4 linked regions of the Arabidopsis thaliana genome follow. The protein of the gene in region 1 purifies or fractionates together with the protein of each later gene. This does not show direct contact. Each region holds a gene or a part of one and is shown on either strand. Other genes may lie near its edges.

What was found.
Region 2: the proteins of CYCD2;1 (region 1) and AT4G25550 purify together in Arabidopsis thaliana (affinity purification with mass spectrometry, with the first as the bait; one large-scale study listed by BioGRID). This does not show direct contact.
Region 3: the proteins of CYCD2;1 (region 1) and AT1G14810 purify together in Arabidopsis thaliana (affinity purification with mass spectrometry, with the first as the bait; one large-scale study listed by BioGRID). This does not show direct contact.
Region 4: the proteins of CYCD2;1 (region 1) and DGR2 purify together in Arabidopsis thaliana (affinity purification with mass spectrometry, with the first as the bait; one large-scale study listed by BioGRID). This does not show direct contact.

Annotation. Positions count from the first base shown.
Region 1 is NC_003071.7:9,552,757-9,558,047, forward strand, and holds CYCD2;1 (Cyclin D2;1), read right to left. Parts: upstream 3,390-5,291; 5' UTR 3,118-3,389; coding exon 2,800-3,117; intron 2,560-2,799; coding exon 2,473-2,559; intron 2,391-2,472; coding exon 2,292-2,390; intron 2,190-2,291; coding exon 1,994-2,189; intron 1,877-1,993; coding exon 1,749-1,876; intron 1,662-1,748; coding exon 1,401-1,661; 3' UTR 1,047-1,400; downstream 1-1,046.
Region 2 is NC_003075.7:13,046,474-13,052,514, forward strand, and holds AT4G25550 (Cleavage/polyadenylation specificity factor, 25kDa subunit), read left to right. Parts: upstream 1-1,893; 5' UTR 1,894-2,045; coding exon 2,046-2,164; intron 2,165-2,673; coding exon 2,674-2,719; intron 2,720-3,376; coding exon 3,377-3,470; intron 3,471-3,561; coding exon 3,562-3,635; intron 3,636-3,964; coding exon 3,965-4,051; intron 4,052-4,134; coding exon 4,135-4,245; intron 4,246-4,328; coding exon 4,329-4,400; 3' UTR 4,401-4,800; downstream 4,801-6,041. Other genes in the region: homolog of DNA mismatch repair protein MSH3, read right to left, coding at 1-94, 258-449, 707-1,642. UniProt on the Arabidopsis thaliana protein: Component of the cleavage factor Im (CFIm) complex that plays a key role in pre-mRNA 3'-processing. Involved in association with CPSF6 or CPSF7 in pre-MRNA 3'-end poly(A) site cleavage and poly(A) addition.
Region 3 is NC_003070.9:5,101,581-5,106,847, reverse strand, and holds AT1G14810 (semialdehyde dehydrogenase family protein), read left to right. Parts: upstream 1-1,997; 5' UTR 1,998-2,214; coding exon 2,215-2,775; intron 2,776-2,887; coding exon 2,888-2,974; intron 2,975-3,075; coding exon 3,076-3,120; intron 3,121-3,215; coding exon 3,216-3,311; intron 3,312-3,407; coding exon 3,408-3,509; intron 3,510-3,544; exon of another isoform or gene 3,545-3,666; coding exon of another isoform or gene 3,667-3,696; exon of another isoform or gene 3,697-3,846; coding exon 3,847-4,001; intron 4,002-4,082; coding exon 4,083-4,164; 3' UTR 4,165-4,289; coding exon of another isoform or gene 4,290-4,410; 3' UTR 4,411-4,424; downstream 4,425-5,267. Other genes in the region: AT1G14820 (Sec14p-like phosphatidylinositol transfer family protein), read left to right, coding at 55-126, 427-685, 924-960, 1,048-1,165, 1,251-1,361, 1,450-1,611; AT1G14800 (Nucleic acid-binding, OB-fold-like protein), read right to left, coding at 4,290-4,410.
Region 4 is NC_003076.8:8,861,297-8,866,691, forward strand, and holds DGR2 (transmembrane protein, putative (Protein of unknown function, DUF642)), read left to right. Parts: upstream 1-1,927; 5' UTR 1,928-2,133; coding exon 2,134-2,218; exon of another isoform or gene 2,219-2,224; intron 2,225-2,658; exon of another isoform or gene 2,659-2,679; intron 2,680-2,952; exon of another isoform or gene 2,953-2,977; coding exon 2,978-3,475; intron 3,476-3,571; coding exon 3,572-4,098; 3' UTR 4,099-4,381; downstream 4,382-5,395. Other genes in the region: AT5G25470 (AP2/B3-like transcriptional factor family protein), read right to left, coding at 4,558-4,815, 4,922-5,043, 5,156-5,395. UniProt on the Arabidopsis thaliana protein: Involved in the regulation of testa rupture during seed germination. Required during roots and rosettes development.

The sequences.
Region 1 (5,291 bases):
TATAGAAATATATTATTTATGTGCATAAATAAGCGAAAAGAAGGCAGTAGATTCCCAAGGTTTCTTATGCTCAGAGATTATTATTTTTTCTGTTTTCTCAGACACGAGGAGAGAGATAGAGAGAGATGTTGACCGGTCGCACAGTCAAAACAAAAATAAATGGGCCCACTAAACTCTTTTCGGGGCCCATTGTGGTTTTCTCTTCTCCAATCCCCAAAACATGCAATTGTCTTTTAAACCAATTAAGTATTTTTGTTGTTGGGAAAATTAGATATTTTTTTTCAAAGCAAAGATAATAGTAAAAATACATAAAATTCAAGGGTTGTATTAATATGTAATAAGTTACTAACCAGTAACCAGGTAAATAGTAAGGGTTTTTAAAAATAAATTCTCTTGTATATCGTTTTAGAAATTATTTTAATTTTAAATAATGTCAATTGTACTTCTTTTTATAACTAGAAGTTCTTGAGAATAGTAAGAACTTGAATATATTTAAGGGCAAAAATAAGTTTAGTTTCAAAAAAAATATCACATGTTTTCGAATGTTCCACAAATAGCACAAATTTAGTATTATTTTTAAATTTTTTTTGGAAATGTCTTACTTAATTGTTGAAAATATTTAGGAATATCTTACTTAATTGTTGAAAAGCTTCTAAATAATTTGAATTTAAATTATAGGTACTAGAGTCATCAATATTTACAGTGTTCCAATTCAATACTACATTCACAAAAATGTAATCTCATGTCACTACGATGTGATTTAGAACAGTTTAGAAAAAATTGTATGTTCCGATAATGGAGAAAATATAGATTTTTATGTGATAAAAATTTATCGGAACAACAGTTTTTTTTAACATGATATATGCATATTTATAGGAACAACAAATTTTTTGTAAAATGGAGAGAATATAGATTTTTCTGTGATAAAAGTTTTTTTTAATATAAATTTAAAATAATCTCTACTGCATTATATGATACTTTATAACTTCTGACATATGTTAAAATAAAAGATATATACTATAGTGCATATTTGAGGACACAAAAATCATAAAATTAATTCTCTTTCTATTTCTTTTTTTTTTAATTATATCTCTGACATTATGTAGAAAAAAAAAAGTCCCTTGGAGCAAGAACAGGGATGTCTCTCATCATCATCAATAATGACTTATTAATTTTGCCGCCTTCCAAAGAGCTCTCTCTCTCTCTCTTATTTTCTTTTTTCCTTTCTCACAAAACTCTCATATTCAATCCAATTTTCAGATTGAAAATGAGAAATCAAAGAAAGAAAAAGAAAATTTATGTAGAAAAAAAAAACCAAAAAAATAAATAAGAACCTCAAATGTCATGAGTACTTGTGGTTTTGGGTTGTAAAAAGCAATGTATGACTCTTTTATTCTCTCTCATTGTTTTCTCCTCCTCTTGTTGCTGTTGTTGTTGTTGTTGTTGTTGTCTGGACTACTCTGTGAGGAATTTGTACATGACTCAACTGTTCTCTCTTCACTCCTATAGCTCAAACATGTTGCTTCCAACACTCCAACTGGACTTGCAGGTACAGCTCTTACCGCAACTCGCGCCTGCTCCTGCGATAAACTAGTTCCCCGCACATTCTCCTCCCCAGTGAGACTTCTCATCAGATTCAAACATCTCTTCACCCTCTCCTGCTAAAGGAAGACAATGATCAGATGAAATGTGTGTTCTTGAAACAGTAAAGGTTTAAGTCTTTCGCTATCATACCGAATGTTAATTACCTGTTTTACATATATGAGACTAGACAGTGCCTTTTCCTCATCAATGCATTCTGTTTCTCCTGAAATGGAAACAGACACTGCAGCAGCTGCAGCTATCTCAGAAGGCCTGAAGTCTAAGAATTCAATTGCTGCATTCAATTTTATAAACAGAAACGTATCAGCCTTCCTCATTAAACAAAGCCAAGTTAGTTGCAAATAAAGAAAGAATGTTGTTATAGCTTGCTTCTGATCAATAAATGACGCACCTTTGGTGGTGTTTAAGATGAATCTTGACGATCTATAGATCAAATTCTCCGACACGTGACCACTGATCTTGTCAACGAAATAATCAATGAAGGAGAATGGAGTTAGAGCTTGCAATCTCCAATTCAAAGTGGTGACAACCAAAAGCTCCATCCTTTTTATTGTTTTGGCCTCAAAAACAAACTTGGGATCTTCCACCTGCTCATAGGAACAACATTTCAAGATTAGTTCCACTAAAACCTCGATTTTCGACTCTTCGTAAGAAGACTGAAGCTATTAAGGACTAAATGTAAGTTGCACCTGTAAATCAACAATGTGAGGCACATCAGTTTCTTCCATTTTGGATGCTAATGATAAGCAAGACACAGCTAGTAACTGAGCAGCCCAATCCTTGTCTTTCTACGCAATCGAAAACACACAAACCGGTCATCGTATTGTCTCGAATACGATGAAACCAATCCGCAAAGACGATGCAACTTACCGGCAATTCATAGGATGTTAAGAACCGATCCAAGTAGTTCATGGATAGGCATATGCACAGATGTCCAAAATGGTAATGAGCACAAACCTGTAGAACAATTGGCATTAAAGACAAAAGAACTCAATTACTCAACAAGATCAATACCTCAATCTATAGAGAAGATTCAATTAATCTATAATAAATACATCAGAGAATGAATGAGCTATCAAACTGATCAAAGAACACACTTAAACTCAATCACAAAGCACAAAAAGAGACCAAACCAGATTTGAGGTTTGTCTTAAAACACAACACAGATCAAAGCAATCAAAAGAAGAAATCACATACCTTTAGAATCCAATCAAGAGCTTGGTTTCGAACAGACAAATCCAAATCACCAGAAAGCAATCTCTTAACATAATCAGTTCCAGGGCAAAACTCAATCTCTCTCACCAACATCTCTTTGATTCTGTCTTCACTCAAGGACGATGAAGAAGAACCCATCATCGGAATTGATCCGTTGCCGCCAAAGTTGTCGTCTTTAGCAAAAAGTTGGTGATTGTAATCAATCTCGTTCGTAAATCCGCCGCCATAGTTGATATCATCATCGTCGTTGTCAATGATCCATGACTCGCTGGTTTCACCACAAGCAAGATTCTCAGCCATGGGGTTTGGTTTGATTGTTGTGTTGTGTATTGATTGATAATAGTCTGTTTAATTCGTTTATTGGGGTGGTCTCAAAGTTTTTGAGAGCGTTCGGACAAGAAAGTGAAAACTAAGGAAGCAAAAGTCATCAAAGATGGGAGATTTCTGAGGAGGTTTTGTCTTGAGGAACTGCGATTTTCATGGCAGAGGAGAAGAGAGAGGAGAGAGAGGCTTATACAGAGGAAAGTGGGTGAGTGTGTTTTAGGGTAGAGAGGGGAGAGACCACTCCACAGACTCGAAATGGAAAATACAGAGAATATACACTAAGAACAATATGTGGAAATATAAATTATATTTAAAATTTAAATCATATTGTTATTAATAGTTTAATATCACAAGTCCTTATAAACTAAATTTAAATTGTCATAGTAAAAACGACAAAAAAAAAAAAAAAAAAAAAATTGTCATAGTAAAATTTAGAAATTACATAAAGTCAACGATAAAAAAAAAGTATTCCAAAAAAATAAGTTGGTCATAAATGTTGAAATCTCCAGAGATACTATTCCCAAAAAAGAAGACAATTCACTATTTTTTGGTTTTCATGTTCTTGTTTAGTGTTTTGTAAACTTCTGAAATTGAATCATATGCTTTATTTACTTCTATTTAGTGGATCTTTCTTTTGAGGTTAAGGTTAGGGAACCTTGTGCTATTCGCCAACATCGGTAACGTCGAGATATAAACCGAAAAAACAATAACTAATAAGATCTCAATCACTTATGATTTTGAACTAGAGTAGAATAAACTTAAAGACGCCCAACTGTTTTTACCGCTGTAGTAGATATGAAAGACTGATTGAAAGCCAAGAAAAGAAAATGTCAAAGATAGAAAGAAGAACCATCGACCAAAACTTGACCTAAAACATCGGACTACCACCACATAACCTTAGAAACAAAATATGAAATGCGGAGTTGTGGAAACATCCAACCTAAGGAAAAAAATATATAGCTAAGGCTATGTTTCTATTAAGACGAATCATTTAGTAACTTCACTTATATAAAATATTTTGTCATGTTTAAGTTAATTACAGTTTAACTAACACTATACATTTCTTTTCATTTTCATGATTTTCCGGATCGATTTATAAGTGTTAATTTGGATTCGATCGTTTAGACATCATTTTCAACATGTGTTCACATCCTTCCTCTATTCTTAAACACCTAGTTATATGGCAAAGTAATCTGATACAAAAGATATTTGCTAATAAATGATCTAATAATTTTAGAAATCTAACCCGCATAGCATGAAAATTGCTTAGTTCAAATCAAGATTTAGGTAATGTAACTCACCTTTATTAGGTTTTTAACTTTTAACTAGGTGAAGTGTTCGCGGATTTGGCCCATTCGACATTGTTATGAAGCGGTCACGATTATGAAAATTATATCCCCACTACAGAAGAAACTAAATAGGATAAACTAACTTTAGCAGTAGTCAGATGTGGATTAGACTTCACGTAAACGTACAAGTTGCGATATGAGCTCAAGCAAACATCAGATTTTAGGGTTTCCAACATATTACTTAACATATAAATTTTGGAAATTATTTTATGTGTTTTCTAGTAACAATGACAACAATTACGATATTGATTATCTAAGGAGTGGAAGTCACTGAAGAAAAATTACTAAACAACTTTATTTCCGGATTTTTTTTTTGTTTTGGGGTTTTTAGGTTCTAGAAAATAATCTCCATTTGGAATCAAAACTATCAGTTTCGTTTGGACACGCTTTTATTATCTCAACTGAGGCCATCCCACTATATTACTAAAGAAAAATACTTCTAAATCCAAGAAGGAGAGACTTCTCAAACTGAATAGATAAATTACATTCAGAATCAGAGAGCCTATAACAACTACATGCCACATCTCAGCAATACTAAACAGTTTGTTCTTTATAACCAAGGCCAAAAATTTGTCTCAGAGAACCATTTTATACTTTACTATCTCAATGATCTATGAATTCCCTACTAAGCATATCAATATCATTGCAGCATAGAAGGGTATCAATCCAATCCTTTGTGTGATTGCAAATATTCAAGACATAAACAACAATTATTTAAGTCAAGTCAAGTCAAATATGATAAGGTTTGGGTTTCTATTGAACTTAAACAATAGATTAACATGCAATACCAAATTCAAATGC
Region 2 (6,041 bases), on another chromosome or scaffold:
CTTGGTAAAGGATCCTTTCAAATCCAAACTGTTTGAGATGGCAAAACGTTAGGGCGAGGGCTTGAACAGTCAGATGTGGCATGTTCATAATTGTCTGCACCATCAACGAAGGAATAAATTAGCAGGAATTGCAGTAAGCATTTAATAGATGAAAAAAACTTTTTGAAAGCAAGATGTGGTCATTAACAATATCGCATTAACAGATCATCATAAAAAATAAAATAAAGGGAAAGTTTTTAGAAAGTCAAATGACATACATGAACTGTCAAGCAAGACATTCCTTTTTCAGCAGCCTCCAGCTTCATTTCTTTATCATCTTCTAAGTTACCTGCGCTGATTTTTTCACATAATGAAATAACCTCATCTACTGCATTACCATTGCTGAAACAATCCAGTGAGGCACGTTCCACTCGAACGTTTGAGGTAGGTCCAGCATGTGCCACCAAAAACTGCCAAACAAAGATACCACACGAACATCTATCAGTACATGTATACACATCGACCAAGAACAGAAGTTCTAGTCTTCAAAACTAATCCATATAGTGATTATACATACAGACAAAGATTCTTGTCAAACTGTTCATCAGGAAGGATTCAGGGATTAGTATAGACAGAATCTTGTAAAACTAACTGAGGAGCTAAATTGTTCAAAATTAATCAACAATGCTTGAATTAGTAATATTTACTCGTACACAGATAAACGTACCTTCTCAGTTTGTTGTGAAAGAGGCTGGCCAAGCAACAGCTCAGCTGGTGACAAGCTCAAAATCACAGCCTCTAATCCACTTCTCATGAAATTATCATTGAACTCTTCATAAACAACTTCACCTGTCGAAATTTCAACGCCAACAACACCGACTCTAACATCAAAACTCATTTCAATACCACAGCCTAATGTCTCCGACTTAACTCTCTCATCCACAACACAAACCAAGAAATTACTCTGTGAACCAAAACCTTCTTCACCACCACAACCACCACTTATATCCTCAGCCGCTTCAAGCGTGGCTTTGGTATACAACGCCGACAGTCCCCGGAAAAAAGGGCCGGTCCGGTTTGCACCATGGGACTTAATGGCTGCAGTTTCAGTCTGCTTCACTACACCAATCTTGTATCCTGCATTCACCAGTCTTCTCACATGGAAATTCAATCGAAATGTTGGCACACTCGCCGTCATGAAATTGTGATCCATATGAGCGTAAATACCCAACACGCGTGCTGCGATCTCCGCGTCTTCTCCGAAGAATCTGTACCTGTAACCAACTTCCACCATCAAAACCACATCTGGGTACTTGCTCTTTAGCTCCACCACTTGCTGTTCCAATGGTGTGTATTTCCTCGATGATGACGTTTCGGGAACATATTCCTCCGGCGAGGGTTCCAGAAATCTCTGGAGAAATCTTTGGTGTAAATTGGGATCGGGTACTGGGTTTTGAGTGTGAGGAGAAAGTTTAGGCTTTTTGGGTGACGCGGCGGCGAGGTGGTCGGAGAGAAGCTTACGCTTGGAAGGAGAGAAGGATACAGTGGCGGATATCTTCGGTGGCGGTGTTGATGATTCGGCTACCGGATTCGGTTCGTGAGTCGGGGATTTGGGTTTGGGAGCGAAGAAACGAGAAATCGTCTGCTGCTTTTGCTTGCCCATAATTGCTTTATTCGTAATCTCCTCCGTTTAAGAGAAATGGAAGGTCGTGGTCGTGGCTATGGCGAACTTGGGTTGCCAATTTTCGCGCGCTTTCTTAGGTTGCCAATCTCTCTAATCCATCACTGTCACTGAACAACAAAGTGACGAAGCCATCGGTTCGGAGCGGTTATTATGGGCCGGGTCTTTATAAATGGGCCGGTATTTTTTAAATGGGCCTAAAGTGCCACTATAACAAATGAGTATACTCTAGAAGTTGGTGGTGTCATTAATTCTCCGTCGAGATCGCTTCTCTCCCCGTTGCCGTCCGTCCCCACCGCTGAGTGATAGATCGAAACAGAGAAACACACACGGCGAAGAAGATTTCACCATATTTTGTCTAAGTGGATTCTGTTGAGAGAGAGAGATGGCTATGTCTCAGGTGGTGAACACGTACCCGCTTTCGAACTACAGCTTCGGAACTAAGGAACCCAAGCTGGAAAAGGACACCTCCGTCGCCGACCGGCTCGCTCGTATGAAAATCAAGTACGATTCCTCTTTCCTTCTTTCTCTTTTTTGTTTTCTTCTTATAGCTACTGCTGGAGAAGATGCCTGAGAATTGAAAACCCTAGAAATCTCCAGGCTTTTACATTCTTAGATCATGATCTCGATGTTTTCTAAATGCTTATCTGCTTTCTCGCTGCTGCTGAATTTACTAGCTTCTCCTTAAAGGAATAATCTTTTGGCCATTTTACACAACTTTAAGGTTTCAAAACTACAACTTGGTGGTACATATATTGTTAGAACAACTTCTTCCAACGATCTGTGTTTTTTTTTTGTGAACAAAGAACAGCTATAGGCTATTTAAATTTCCAGTGAATGATTTGATTAGGGAACAGATATAGCTACTGTATATGTTATACAATACTTTAGTTTTGCAAGTAAAGTCTCATGCTTTTTACATGGATACATGAAGTCTGGAATTTGATAGCTCTTACTTAAGACATTCTGGAGTCTGATTATCTCTTTCTTGTTTTCTTAATGGGGTGTTGCAGCTATATGAAAGAGGGCATGAGGACTAGCGTTGAAGGGATTCTACTGGTATGATAATTTTCGATCTGCTCTACTTGTTATCCAACTCTTCTGTAGTTTTCTCTGTGTTGTTTAACTGCCCACTGTCTTAAAATCGGTGGTACAGTTATGTGGTTCAAGACTTGAGTGGCCATACTGTCATATACATAATGCCACTGAAGTGTCACTTTATTTGTACTTAATCGTAGCGTTCTCTGTAAATATGTGTTCTCTACCCAATGTATCATTTAAAACTTGGCAGAGATATAGATCTGTGTGATATTTTGATTGAAGTCATCTACTTCCTTTTCTAGTTGCCATCTCCAACACAATTTTGTACTGATTGGGTAACCTTATATTACGAAGAAGCTCGAATCACATAAGTGGATTAATCTGACCTTAATATATAGTCACAAGCTTTATGGATCCAATGAACTTAACCTGCACTTAATAAGAGTCATAAAAGTGAAGGGTGCCATTTATTGATGCATCTTATTGTTCCGTTTCTTTCATTGTTTGTATGCACCATTGCCCTTCCAAGCTTTAATATTTTCCCATGGAGTATCATATGCTTCAAATAATTTGCGTTTGAGTCTAGCAATTACTACCACCTAATTTGATTTGATTTTAGTGATATCTCTCTAACCTAAGATTCTTCTTAATACCTTATGCTGCTTAACATATTAGGTGCAAGAACACAACCATCCTCATATACTTCTGCTACAAATTGGTAACACATTCTGCAAACTTCCAGGTGGACGCCTGAAGCCTGGTGAAAATGGTATACAGTTACCACCCGTTAGTAATACTTTCTACACTGTTATGAGTTTCTTGGCTGCTTAAGTTTTGGGTGTACTATGTTGTGTCTGCAGAAGCTGATGGTCTGAAAAGAAAGCTGACCAGTAAACTTGGAGGCAATTCGGCTGCTCTTGTACCTGACTGGACGGTACTATTCTGGTTTCTTCTTTTTCGTTGAGTGATAGTGACAAGATATTTAGGGGTAGATAGATGCCTTAAAAGAACTAGGTTGGTGTTGCATGTGCTTGCTCTTAAAGCAAACGAGAAGCAATTGAAATTATTTTGGTTATTACACTTAAGCATGCCAGGAATGAGGGTTCATAAAAGAAAACAAGGATAGGCCTGGTAGCTTTGCTAGAGAATCATATACGTACTAGATGAAGAAAGAAGACTTTGCCATGAGTCCACAGTTGTCTGATTGAGTTATGTATATAGCTCTGTCCCTGATCCGTTGGGTACTTTATGTCCCTTTAACAGGTAGGAGAATGTGTTGCGACATGGTGGCGTCCAAACTTTGAAACCATGATGTACCCGTATTGCCCTCCTCACATCACGAAACCAAAGGTAGTAAAAAAACACAATGTAAAGCTTCTCAGAATTTCCCTTTACTCTTCTCCTTATATCTCCTCTTTTTTGTGGAATGGCAGGAATGCAAGAGACTCTACATTGTTCACTTGTCTGAGAAAGAGTACTTTGCTGTGCCCAAAAATTTGAAGCTCTTGGCCGTCCCTTTGTTCGAACTCTATGACAATGTTCAGGTTTTGCTTATATCCAGAATACCAACCTTTGGAAAATGGTTTTTACCTCAAACATCTAACCGTATATTATTTTCTTGAAACAGAGATATGGACCGGTTATATCAACCATTCCGCAGCAGCTATCCAGATTCCATTTCAACATGATTAGTTCGTGATTTCGACTCGGTGTGTTCAAGAACAAGGAACCTATCAGATGGGTAAGTTACTTAGGTACGGTAGAGAGCTGTAGCTACCGGATTAGAGATGGGGTTTTCCAATGATGCGAGTTGGGTTTTTTGCATTATAGACTTGTTGGCTTTTATGTAGAACCGGTTCAAAGTGTCAGCACAAAAAACAAAGATTATTGTATCTCATTTTTAAAAGCATTTGTCATTGTTTGACTAACGCCTGTCTTCTCTAACCGTAAAACATGTGTTTCATTCAATGTTGAATGATGTTTTTATTTTGGTGCATAAAACTAAGCCATGTTTAACCTTCTTTGTCAACATATTTCATAAAGTTTTATCAACATACCACAAGGCCTAATGGTCGAAGGAGGAGAAGTTTTGTTGTAGACGAACAATCTAAAGTATCCTAGTTATCATAACATTAGATGTATAAAATTTATTCTCCGAGGGCTAAGGATTAAGTCATCATAACATTAGATGTATAAAATTTATTAGTCGTGTTTCATTGGGGATTAGTTTGACGGCAAATTATATTATGTTATCAAGACGACCAAGACAAGGTAGACACTTTTTTATTGTTTCCCTCTCAATTTTCTTTACTCGTCATTTTCCACAGGCCAAAAGAGCCAACAAGTAAAAAACAAAATCAGAGTATTTTTAAAATTGGGACAGGCCATTTCGATCGGGACAGAAGGAATTCAAATTGTTGAAATTCACAATATTCCTCAAATAACTCTTATTATTGGTCCACTTGTCAGTGTGAATGTAAGAAAAACATCGTGAGAGGAAAAAATATGAAATAATTACTAGCAGCAAATAGGAGCTCAATGTTGACTTCACTACAAAATTTTATAATTAAGAGAAAAAGAGCTCTCAAATCATATAATAATTATTTCAAGTACTTGTATTAGCAAATGCAATTTGTCTGCTTGCTAATGATGCTTTACGAAAAGATTAACAGATTGGATGATTCTCTATAATCATTACTTCATTATTCACAATCATTGGATTGAATCAGACAGATTATTCCACCCGGATGATCGTTTCTAACCAAAAAACTCATTGACGCGATTTAAACATAAATTAAAGAAGTCGTTAATATAAAATTCTTGCCGACATTTTAGAGATTTTTGGATATGAAGATGTTATCTGATTAGTGTGTAAATTCTTAAGGCATCGTCCATTATAAATGAAGTAAATATAAGGAAAACAAACAATAAGAAAACAAAGTGAAAGAACAAAAACAAGCAAAGATTCTTCTTTTTTTTTTTTTTTATAGGTAGGAATCTCAAATCTTATATATACTGAAAATTGCTAATTTATTTTAAGTTGGAACATTATATCAATAATTTAAATTTATCCAAGCAGACTTTTGACACCTAATTAATCCTTACATATTCCATTATGACTTTTCTCCTCACTGCTTATACAAATGCATACAGTATACTCATAAGAAATTAACACATAAATTATATCCCAAATTTTCATAAAAATAGAAATATATATGTCATTTGTCATTTACTCTAAGCAGGCCCATTTGGTCATTTCTTAACACCAAGTATGTAGGCTCTATCTGTGGACGTTTGGTGATATATATGTTGTCTCAATCACCATATATAGTATTGAGAC
Region 3 (5,267 bases), on another chromosome or scaffold:
CTCTCTCTTTATTTCTCTGTGAGATTTTTTTAGGATCTGAGAGAGCCAAAGATCATGGAGGAAAGCCAAGAACTTGCCTTGACCCAGTTGAGAAAATCGGTCGAGAAACTCTCTTCTTCTACTGAGGTAATCTAATTCGACGCTTTAGTTTCATTACAGTTTACAAAGCTTGCATCTTTTGGCCGTTTCATGAGTTTCACTGACAATGTCTCGTTAGAAAATGAGAAATATCTGTCATTTGATTTTGATGGGTTTTATATGGGCTACACTGTTAAAACTCTGTCTCCATTCTCGTCATAGTGGTTTGTCTGATTAGGTTTGAGCCTCCCATCAGAAACCCTAACAGTAGAGACAGTTTAGTAAAAGTGAATCCATAATCAGAAAATCTCATCAATGGTTTTTGTTGTTGTTGTTTCCTCTGAAAAGGGATATGACAAACCAACATTGATGAGGTTCCTGGTGGCAAGATCAATGGACCCAGTCAAGGCAGCAAAGATGTTTGTAGATTGGCAAAAATGGAGAGCCTCCATGGTTCCTCCAACTGGATTCATCCCTGAGTCAGAAGTGCAGGATGAATTGGAATTCAGAAAGGTCTGTCTTCAGGGTCCGACCAAATCCGGACACCCATTGGTGCTTGTCATAACCTCTAAGCATTTTGCTTCTAAGGATCCAGCTAACTTCAAGAGTAATCACCTCTCACTTGCTTCTGACCTTTACTTTCGTTGGAAATAATCTGTCCCTTGACTTTCAGTGACTTTTGTATTCATAGAACTGATCAGCTTCTTTCCTGGTTCTCTAATTATTGAGTAGTTTCATTTGACTTCAAATGAATGAAGTTTTTTGAGTCCATCTATGTGTTTTCCTTGAGTTGATTCTTGCGATAATTATCTATGAACTAATCTTTTATCTGTTTGATGTTGCAGAGTTTGTTGTTTATGCGCTAGACAAAACAATCGCAAGGTGTTTACACATTATTGAAACCAAAACACTTCAATAATCTTCCGGTTAGTTGGTTGTGAGACAAGCTTTTTGGTTTTTATGTTTCAGTGGCAACAATGGCAAAGAAGTTGGAGGTGAGAAATTAGTAGCCGTTATTGATCTGGCAAACATTACATACAAGAACCTTGATGCTCGTGGATTGATCACTGGCTTTCAATTCTTACAAGTAAGCATCTCCCTTCTTCCTGAAACAATATAGTTATCACACAAAAAGAAGTCCTGTCTATTAAATTTGGAAAATGTTTCTCTAGTCTTACTACCCGGAACGCCTTGCAAAATGCTACATTTTGCATATGCCCGGATTCTTCGTGACCGTTTGGAAATTCGTCTGCCGTTTTCTAGAGAAAGCAACTCAGGAAAAGGTTTGATCTTTAATCTCCTCTTGATGTATCTATCTCTAATGGTTCTTGAGCAACGAATCACATAAATTATGATTTTGCTGTTGCATAGATTGTGATAGTTACGGATGGAGAAGAACAGAGAAAATTCGAGGAGGAGATCGGAGCAGATGCTTTACCGGAAGAGTACGGTGGCCGAGCTAAGCTCACAGCAATCCAAGATGTTCTTCTTCCTCAGGCTGCTCCAGTAACTCTAACAAACAATAATGTTTAGCTCTTTATTTTTGGAAGCATTAACCTGAATATTTGTAATGGTCAGAACATAACTAGTGGTACATCTCTAAATTTCCAAAAGAAGCAATGAAAACATGAGAAAGTAATGCGAATATATTCAATCTGGTGACTGAGTGCTCGCTCTTGCTTATCTTTTCTTATTCACATCATAAGTAAGCTGTAAAGCAGGATTGATCAACAGACCAGACTAACTTCTAGAAACTTAATGTCCTCTTGTTGTACGTGTAAGATTCCAAAGTTAGCTATAGATGTCTTTGAGCTAAAAACCAGAATCACGAGCTCTTAAATATGATCCCTAAGCCTTGTTATATGACAAAAGACTTTTCAACAACTTAATATTTCCAAAAGAAGAAATGATGAAACACATGAGAAAGTTGTGTGAATATACTCAATCTGGTGAATGAGCAGTTTCAAACATCATGCTGTTTCTGTATCTTAAATTAAACAATCTTGCTGTTTTGAATTTTGAAGATGTTGGTCAATTCACTAACACACTTTAAAGTCCCAAGCTTTTTTCTATCAGCCGCCTCCAAAATCTCTCTATCTCTCTGTCTCTCACTTCTTCTTCCTCACGGCGGCGACAATGGCGACGTTCACTCATCAAACCCCACAAACCCATTTCCTCTCTCGCCTTCCTCTCAGAGCTAAACCTAGACACTTCTCCGCAAGAGTCAAAATGTCTCTCCAAGAATCTGCGCCTTCACTCGCCGTCGTTGGCGTTACCGGAGCCGTCGGACAAGAATTCCTCTCCGTCTTATCCGATCGAGACTTCCCTTATAGCTCCATCAAGATGCTTGCATCGAAACGCTCCGCAGGGAAGCGTGTTGCCTTCGATGGCCATGAATACACGGTGGAGGAGCTCACGGCGGATAGCTTCAACGGTGTAGACATAGCTTTGTTCAGTGCTGGTGGATCCATAAGCAAAGAGTTTGGTCCTCTGGCGGCGGAGAAAGGAACCATTGTTGTTGATAATAGCTCGGCTTTTAGAATGGTTGATGGAGTTCCGCTTGTGATTCCTGAAGTGAATCCAGAAGCAATGAAAGGGATCAAAGTTGGAATGGGCAAAGGGGCTTTGATTGCAAACCCTAATTGCTCCACCATTATCTGTTTGATGGCTGTTACGCCTCTTCATCATCACGCAAAGGTTCGATTTTTATTCTGAAATCTGCTTAGTCCAAAATTTTGAAGGGTAGTTAGAGAATCAATGGAAGCTTTAGACTTTAGTGCTCTGAATAATGTTTGATTGGCTATAATAGGTGAAGAGAATGGTGGTTAGTACATATCAAGCAGCTAGTGGTGCTGGTGCTGCAGCTATGGAAGAGCTTGTTCAGCAGACTCGTGAGGTTTTGTTTCTATTTCAGCCTTCTTTGATTGAATTGTTTAATGATTGTGCTGAGTTGTGATTCTGCTTCTTCGTCTTCTTTGCATTGGTGTGTTTTCTTAGGTTTTAGAGGGTAAACCTCCGACTTGTAACATCTTCGGGCAGCAGGTGAGTGCTTAATTTGCTTATAGTTTGTATTTCGAATGTGCTGATTATGAAATCCCTTTTTGAGTAATGTGATGGTTTTGTATGTTGTTCTGCAGTATGCATTTAACTTGTTTTCACATAATGCTCCTATTCTTGACAACGGTTACAACGAAGAGGAAATGAAACTTGTGAAGGAGACAAGGAAGATCTGGGTGAGTGGTTACTTAAGTGCTATTTTGTGTTCATTTCACTTTGATCTTTTGTTCAAAAATTTTAGATATCTCACACCAATTTCTTGCCCTTCACAGAATGACACAGAAGTAAAAGTAACAGCAACGTGTATACGTGTTCCAGTTATGCGTGCTCATGCAGAGAGTGTGAATCTTCAGTTTGAGAATCCTCTTGATGAGGTAATAACACACGTCGAACCCGATTTCTACTGATTCTGTGTTGTTGTGTTACCTTATGATTTCACTCACTGATATGACAATTTGAATCATAATTTGAAGTTTTAAACCACATTCTATGGTTTTAATTTAACTCAAGCCATTGAAAAATGTGGAGCAGCATGTAATCAGCATAAGTAGGCTTGGATAGTTCTTGATGCACTTGCAGAGTTAAACCCTGAAGTTGTTCTTTGGACTTGCTCTGGTAGCATGTATTGTGATTCTTGTTGCGCAATTAAAAGAATCTTATGATCAAGTTCTTATTCAGGTTATAACGGTTTTTCTTACTGTATCATAACAGAACACAGCAAGGGAGATACTGAAGAAAGCACCTGGAGTTTATATAATAGATGACCGTGCTTCAAATACTTTCCCTACTCCACTCGATGTCTCTAACAAAGACGATGTAGCGGTTGGTAGGATAAGGCGAGACGTGTCTCAAGATGGCAATTTCGGGTAAAGTCTCACTCTTTTCTACTGAATTTGAAGCAAATGTCTTTGCGATATGCCTAAAAGGATATAACTTTGTGAATTCAGGCTGGACATATTCGTTTGTGGAGACCAAATACGCAAAGGAGCTGCTCTGAATGCTGTTCAGATCGCTGAGATGCTTCTCTGAATTTGAACCCGCTCTCACTTTGCTTCTTATGAAATTCTTGACAAAGAGATCACTGTATTATTAGATTTGAGCCAAGAATTTGTCTCATTTTTTGTTCTGTGAGTTTTCTATTTTGACCAATTTTGTTACTTTGATTCATAAAGTTGTCTCTTAAATCTGAACTCATCATGCACACGCTTGAACCTCTTGGCAATTTTCCGGTTCGAATCTGTACCGACTTGGTTGATCTCACCGAAGACAACCGGGCTCCACAATTATTTGACACACTGAAGACTGAACCAGTGGGGGCCCACTTTATTGATAGTTATAGCAAATATTTACTTGTTTAGTGGATATTATCAAATCCTAAAATCACTCCTTCGTTACTAAGACTAGGGAGGAGACCCGCGTTGTTTTTGGTTTTGTTTTTGGTTTTGTTAGTATGCACTAACCACTTCGATTTTTTTTACTGATCTTTGATTAAAAAGGGAATATCTTTGTTATTTGCTAATCTTATCTTTTGATTTCTACATTTTTGTAATCTATGTATAGTTTTACATTTTTTTTTCATGTTGTTACCGGTTATATGCTAGAATTTATAGGATAATAGACCAAACTTACTATCTTGTAAGAATATTTTTTAGAGTTATATATATCTAAGCAATGCATTTGTTACATTGGTCTTGTTTTTATATATTTTATTTTAAATTAAAAATACAATGGAAATCTCTCTCTCTCTCGCATTAAGCGGTTGCTGCAGAGGATAGCGAAGAACAGAGACTAACGACGAAGTTATTTTACACATCGTTGCCATTGTTAATTTTGGCCCAATATGAACCCGCCCATTTGTTTTTTCTCTTTGTGTCTCTGTTAAAATCTTAGAAACTACTCTTTGGTTTGGGGAAGATTTCACTTTTCAACGTCTCTTCGCGAATTAGCCAAAAAGAGTTGGATTATAACAATATTAACATTGAAAGTACGATATGCTTAGATAATTAATTAAAAGTTTGATTTTATTGTAAATATAAATTTCCTTATAACAGCAAGGAATGACACACATTAAAGCAAAAGAAATAAGAGTAATAACTTTTACTTTGTTTTGAGTCTTTGTGATAGTTCACTGC
Region 4 (5,395 bases), on another chromosome or scaffold:
TGTACAATGAAGAGGAGACAAAGCCATGATCCTGCCTTTTGCTTTGATCTCTTCTTTTTTGTATGGGTTCCACTACGTTCGTTACCCATGCCCCACCCACGTTTTCGACGGTTCCTCGTCTTTTTTTGGTTCTTCTCTCACTCTTATTATACACTTGTTTATCTTTTTTAGATTCAACATTTTAAATAGTGATTGTTGTTTGTTCGAACTTGGGTCTTATAAGTCCTAATCAACATTTAATTGGATCCATTAGAAACAGTTCTTTCATTGGAGCTACGTGTTACGTTTTTCTGATATATGATAAATATTACAAATAAGACTAGCCATTTTAGATTTTCAACCGTAAGTATGTGTAGAAATACACGGTTTTAAATTTATAATCAACAAGGTAGTAGAAAAGATAGATAGTCCACACTAGATATGAGTAAAATATATACATCAAGTCATATTATATAAGGTGGGAACTATTTGTGGTTTTATTATAATCGTTAGAACGATATCTCGAATTTATTTAGCTCAAAAACAAATATCACTAGAAAACTACTACATCAAAATCAATACCATTTCTTACAAAACAATATGGCATATTGATAGAAGAATGTACAAATCTTCGATGCCATAAACAGTCGCATCAGAACAGTTGCATGACCGTGACCATGCGAAGTAGTGTACATCCTCATCCTCACGTTCGAATGAACGTTCTCGTAAATCGTTCCTACAACACATATCCCTAAAGAGAGAGCAACACATCCTGTTTGTTTAATGATTCGGCCACTAAAATAAACGTGTAGTTAAGACCAAAAACGTAAAGCACACCTGATTAGAATATTGATCTCTAAGAGTAAAGAACGCATATATTGGTGGTTTTGGCGGAGCTAAATTCCAAAAACCGAACATAAGACAGGTAGTTAGAAATGATTTTAGAGTATTTGTTTTTAAAAATGAAATCCTTTAGAAAATGCAATTTCTTGGGACGATAAGAATGAGAAGAAGACACGATTCTGAATTTTTCTGAGGCCAACTTCATGGCCGACTTTGGAAACCGCATTCTTAGCCACTGAACGGCGCCCTTAATACCATAGACTATTCTCAATTTTGTTATTAAAAATACAGCCAAGAAACAAACCAAAAAAGAGCACGAAGAAGACAAAAGACTTAAAAAAAAGTTTCAAAAGGAAGAGATTTGTGGGTGTAACACATGCCACGATAAACGATTCTCCTAGTAATAGTATCTGTCCACCGATGATCTAAACGACCAATTTGGCATTTCCCAGTTACTATCATAATTAATCATATTTGTCACGTAGATTCAGATGTAAGATTACTAAAAAACATCTCAATTATTTTCACAATCTTAGACTTAAGTGTTTATAGCATGTGGATAAGGGATCATGATCATAAGTTTATAGTTATGTTTAGTGTTTTGTTTTTGGTAGTTTTAGTTTCAGGCGGTTTTGAAACACTTTTTCCGATCCGACCTATACTCATTTTATTTTTTTTGTTTTATTTACAATTTAATTTACAGATTAGACATTAACACATATTTTCAATTTCTCAAAATTATCCAAAATATTCATATCTTAAAGATGTGAAAATTTATCAGAATTAGTGAATTCGAAGTGTAATTTAGACGATTTAAACTATCCGAATCCGATCAAAACTATACGATTAAAACTATCCGAATCCGAGCCAAAACGGTATTTAGTAAATTTAATATTTTATTCCGTATATTTCTAGCAATATATTTAAATACTCCTGCCCATTACCTGTTTATACGCAATTACCTCTAATCATCTACAAACCTGTCCCAATTGGACACTTCTGGCTTCCCCAGTCACAGCCTAAACAGAGCTTGACTCAATAAACAGCAAATATAATTGCATCAAAACAATACTTTTTTTTTACAAATTTTTTATTCCGGAAGTAACCCCAAATGGTCAATAAGGTTCCAAATCTCTGAAAAGGAATGAGGTCACAACCCCACGTGGGATACCAACTAGCCACAGTGGCACACACTCGTAATATATAGAAACCTCCAAGGTCATTTTCATAGTTCTATCCCCTTATAAGCAATAGCCACAACTCTCTTTGCTAATTACATTTTACACTCATCTCGTTCTCTCTTCCGTCAATATGGAAGGCGTCACCGTCGTGTCTTTCTTCCTTCTTTTCATCGCCACCGCCATGGCCGCCAAGTCCACCGTCTCCTTCCGTGACGGTAACTCTATTTACACATATACATACACATACATTCATTACATATTCCGGTTTACTACATTAATAACAAAGTTCTGATTTATCACTTTCAAGTCTGAAAATTGGAATTGGGGTACTATACAATTCAAGTTTTTTTTTTCCTTCAAAGTATATTAACATACCTTTTTTTTTATGTTGATATATCTTGAAGAAAAAAAGCTTAAATTGTACCTCAAATCCAATTTTCAACCTTTGTGTACAGTAAATTATGGCAATTTTATTTTTTATTTTCACAAATTTAGTGGGAACAAAAACTCATTTCACTCAAAATTTTATATAGAAGCGAGAAATAAAATCTTATAATTATAATTGTGATATGAATAATCAATATAATGCTGGTACCTAAAAAAAAGTTTCTGAATGGTTATGAATCATAACTTTGTTGGTATCACTAGTACGAACCTGCCTCTGCTAGCGATAGTACTTAAAAACAAATAAAAATATTCGTTTTGTTACGCTTTAAAATTTAGATTTTTTAAGAAGACGATGTAATAAAAATTACAGCTTCCTTTGCCCATGTTTCTGACACAAACACAACACCATAAAGTTTTTGGACATTTCCAATCAATGAAGTTGAGAGTAGGTCCTTTAGTTCATGTTACATTTAGGACCAGTTTAGGCTGTCTTCGGACACACCTCACGTGCTCTATGTATATCTTTTTCTTTTAAAAAAATTCCAAAATTCCTAATATTCACAAGGACATTTTGATAATATCCACAGGCATGTTACCAAACGGAGACTTCGAGCTAGGACCAAAACCATCAGACATGAAAGGAACAGAAATACTAAACAAACTAGCAATACCAAACTGGGAAGTCACAGGATTCGTCGAATACATTAAATCAGGACATAAACAAGGAGACATGCTTCTCGTTGTTCCCGCCGGTAAATTCGCTGTAAGACTTGGGAACGAAGCATCGATCAAACAAAGACTTAAAGTGGTTAAAGGAATGTATTACTCACTCACTTTTAGTGCTGCTAGAACTTGTGCACAAGACGAGAGACTTAACATATCTGTAGCACCTGACTCCGGTGTGATTCCGATTCAGACGGTTTATAGTAGTAGTGGTTGGGATTTATATGCTTGGGCGTTTCAAGCTGAGAGTGATGTTGCTGAAGTTGTGATTCATAATCCTGGTGTTGAGGAAGATCCAGCTTGTGGTCCACTTATTGATGGTGTTGCTATGAGATCTCTTTACCCTCCTAGACCAACTAATAGTAAGTCATTACTATAAATACTCTGTTTCTTGCTCTGTTTTTATAATCCTTGAACATGTGAATAATGATGATTTTCTTTTATGTTTGATTTGGCAGAGAACATTTTGAAAAACGGAGGATTTGAAGAAGGTCCATTAGTATTACCCGGCTCGACAACTGGAGTTTTGATCCCACCGTTTATAGAAGACGACCACTCTCCTTTACCTGGATGGATGGTGGAGTCTCTCAAAGCTGTCAAGTACGTAGACGTTGAACATTTCTCAGTCCCACAGGGTCGCAGAGCTATTGAGCTTGTAGCGGGTAAAGAGAGTGCCATCGCTCAAGTGGTTCGGACTGTCATTGGGAAGACTTACGTGCTGTCTTTTGCGGTTGGAGACGCCAACAATGCTTGCAAAGGATCAATGGTGGTTGAGGCTTTTGCAGGAAAAGATACACTTAAGGTCCCTTACGAGTCGAAAGGCACAGGAGGGTTTAAACGAGCTTCTATTCGATTTGTGGCGGTTTCGACCCGATCAAGAATTATGTTCTACAGCACTTTCTATGCCATGAGGAGCGATGATTTCTCGTCATTGTGTGGGCCTGTGATCGATGATGTCAAGCTTATAAGCGTTCGTAAACCATAGATGAATCACCAATCCTATTACAAGAAAATGCATCGTGTGGTCTTCTTTTATTTTCCTTAAACTGTCTTTGGTGTGTGTTGGATTTTATTGAAACGAGAAGGTGAAAAAAACAGAGTTTTATTTACGAGAGTTAGGGTTTTATATAGGCAGATGGGCCTTTGCTTATATTGTATTTTCTTGTATGAGAAGGCAAAAGAAACGTTGCCTATATCTTATGTATCTAGGCCTTTTAATTTTTATGGAAGAGTTACAAAACTTACAATAAAGTTGTATGCATATTTTACTTCTCACGAGCATATAAGACTGAATCACAATCGAGCATTTCCAATGAAGTAACAGAAGCATAAGAAATTTAGCATTTAAGTTTTGTTAAAGCAACATAAGGGTCACATATAAACATTACAATAGTAAGTTTGGTAAACACGAATGTTAAAGAAAAGAGACTAGAGAGGACTCATCTCATGTTTTATTGATGAAGTGCACTCTAACAGCAGTAACCAGTTCTCCAGAGCGTTCAAGTTCACAAACCATAGAGTCTCCGGTTTTCAGATTGTACTTTCGACATAGGTCCACCCAGCCATTGAAACAAGGGGCACTGCCACCGCCATAGATCTTAGTGGAGCCATTTATTTTATCTCCGGGAAGAAGGTAATGCATGGGGGACAAATGGGGACCAAACTTCAAGCCATACTTCTTAATCACTGTTTTGGGCACATACTAGTTGCACATTGTACATGAGAAATAGAGAGAAAGATAAGTCTTAGATTTAGAGGCAACAAACGTAAACTAGAATCAAAACTGATGAAAACACTGCTCTTATTACCAAAACGTCATTCCCTTTTGTCAGCGTTTTCACAAAGTAAGGGTTTTTGGGGTTTAGAAGGTACAGCTCAGGGTTTTTGATATCAGCACAACCATGTGTCTCTCGCCAATTGTCTGAAAATTCTGCCAAAACAGAAACAAAAAGAAGCAAACTTTGGCATTGAGAGAAAAGAAAAGAGTAGTATTGAGTATGAAGAGCATCAAAACGATTCTTTCATTCTGAATATAGCCATACCAGAAGCAGAAGCAGAGGCAGAGGCAGTGGTTGTCTCCTTGTGAGAATTTTTTGGTGTAGTAGGATGAAATGGTTCAGTTTCAGGTTCAACTTCAGGAGGTGCATCGATGATCTCGTTCCCATCATTCTTAAAGATTTGCACTTCAAGAAACATCTTGTCATCGTGTCTGAAGAACACGTTATCATTTGGGCCTAAATGGTTGTCATCCACAAACTCATCCCAATCTTCTTCTATCATAA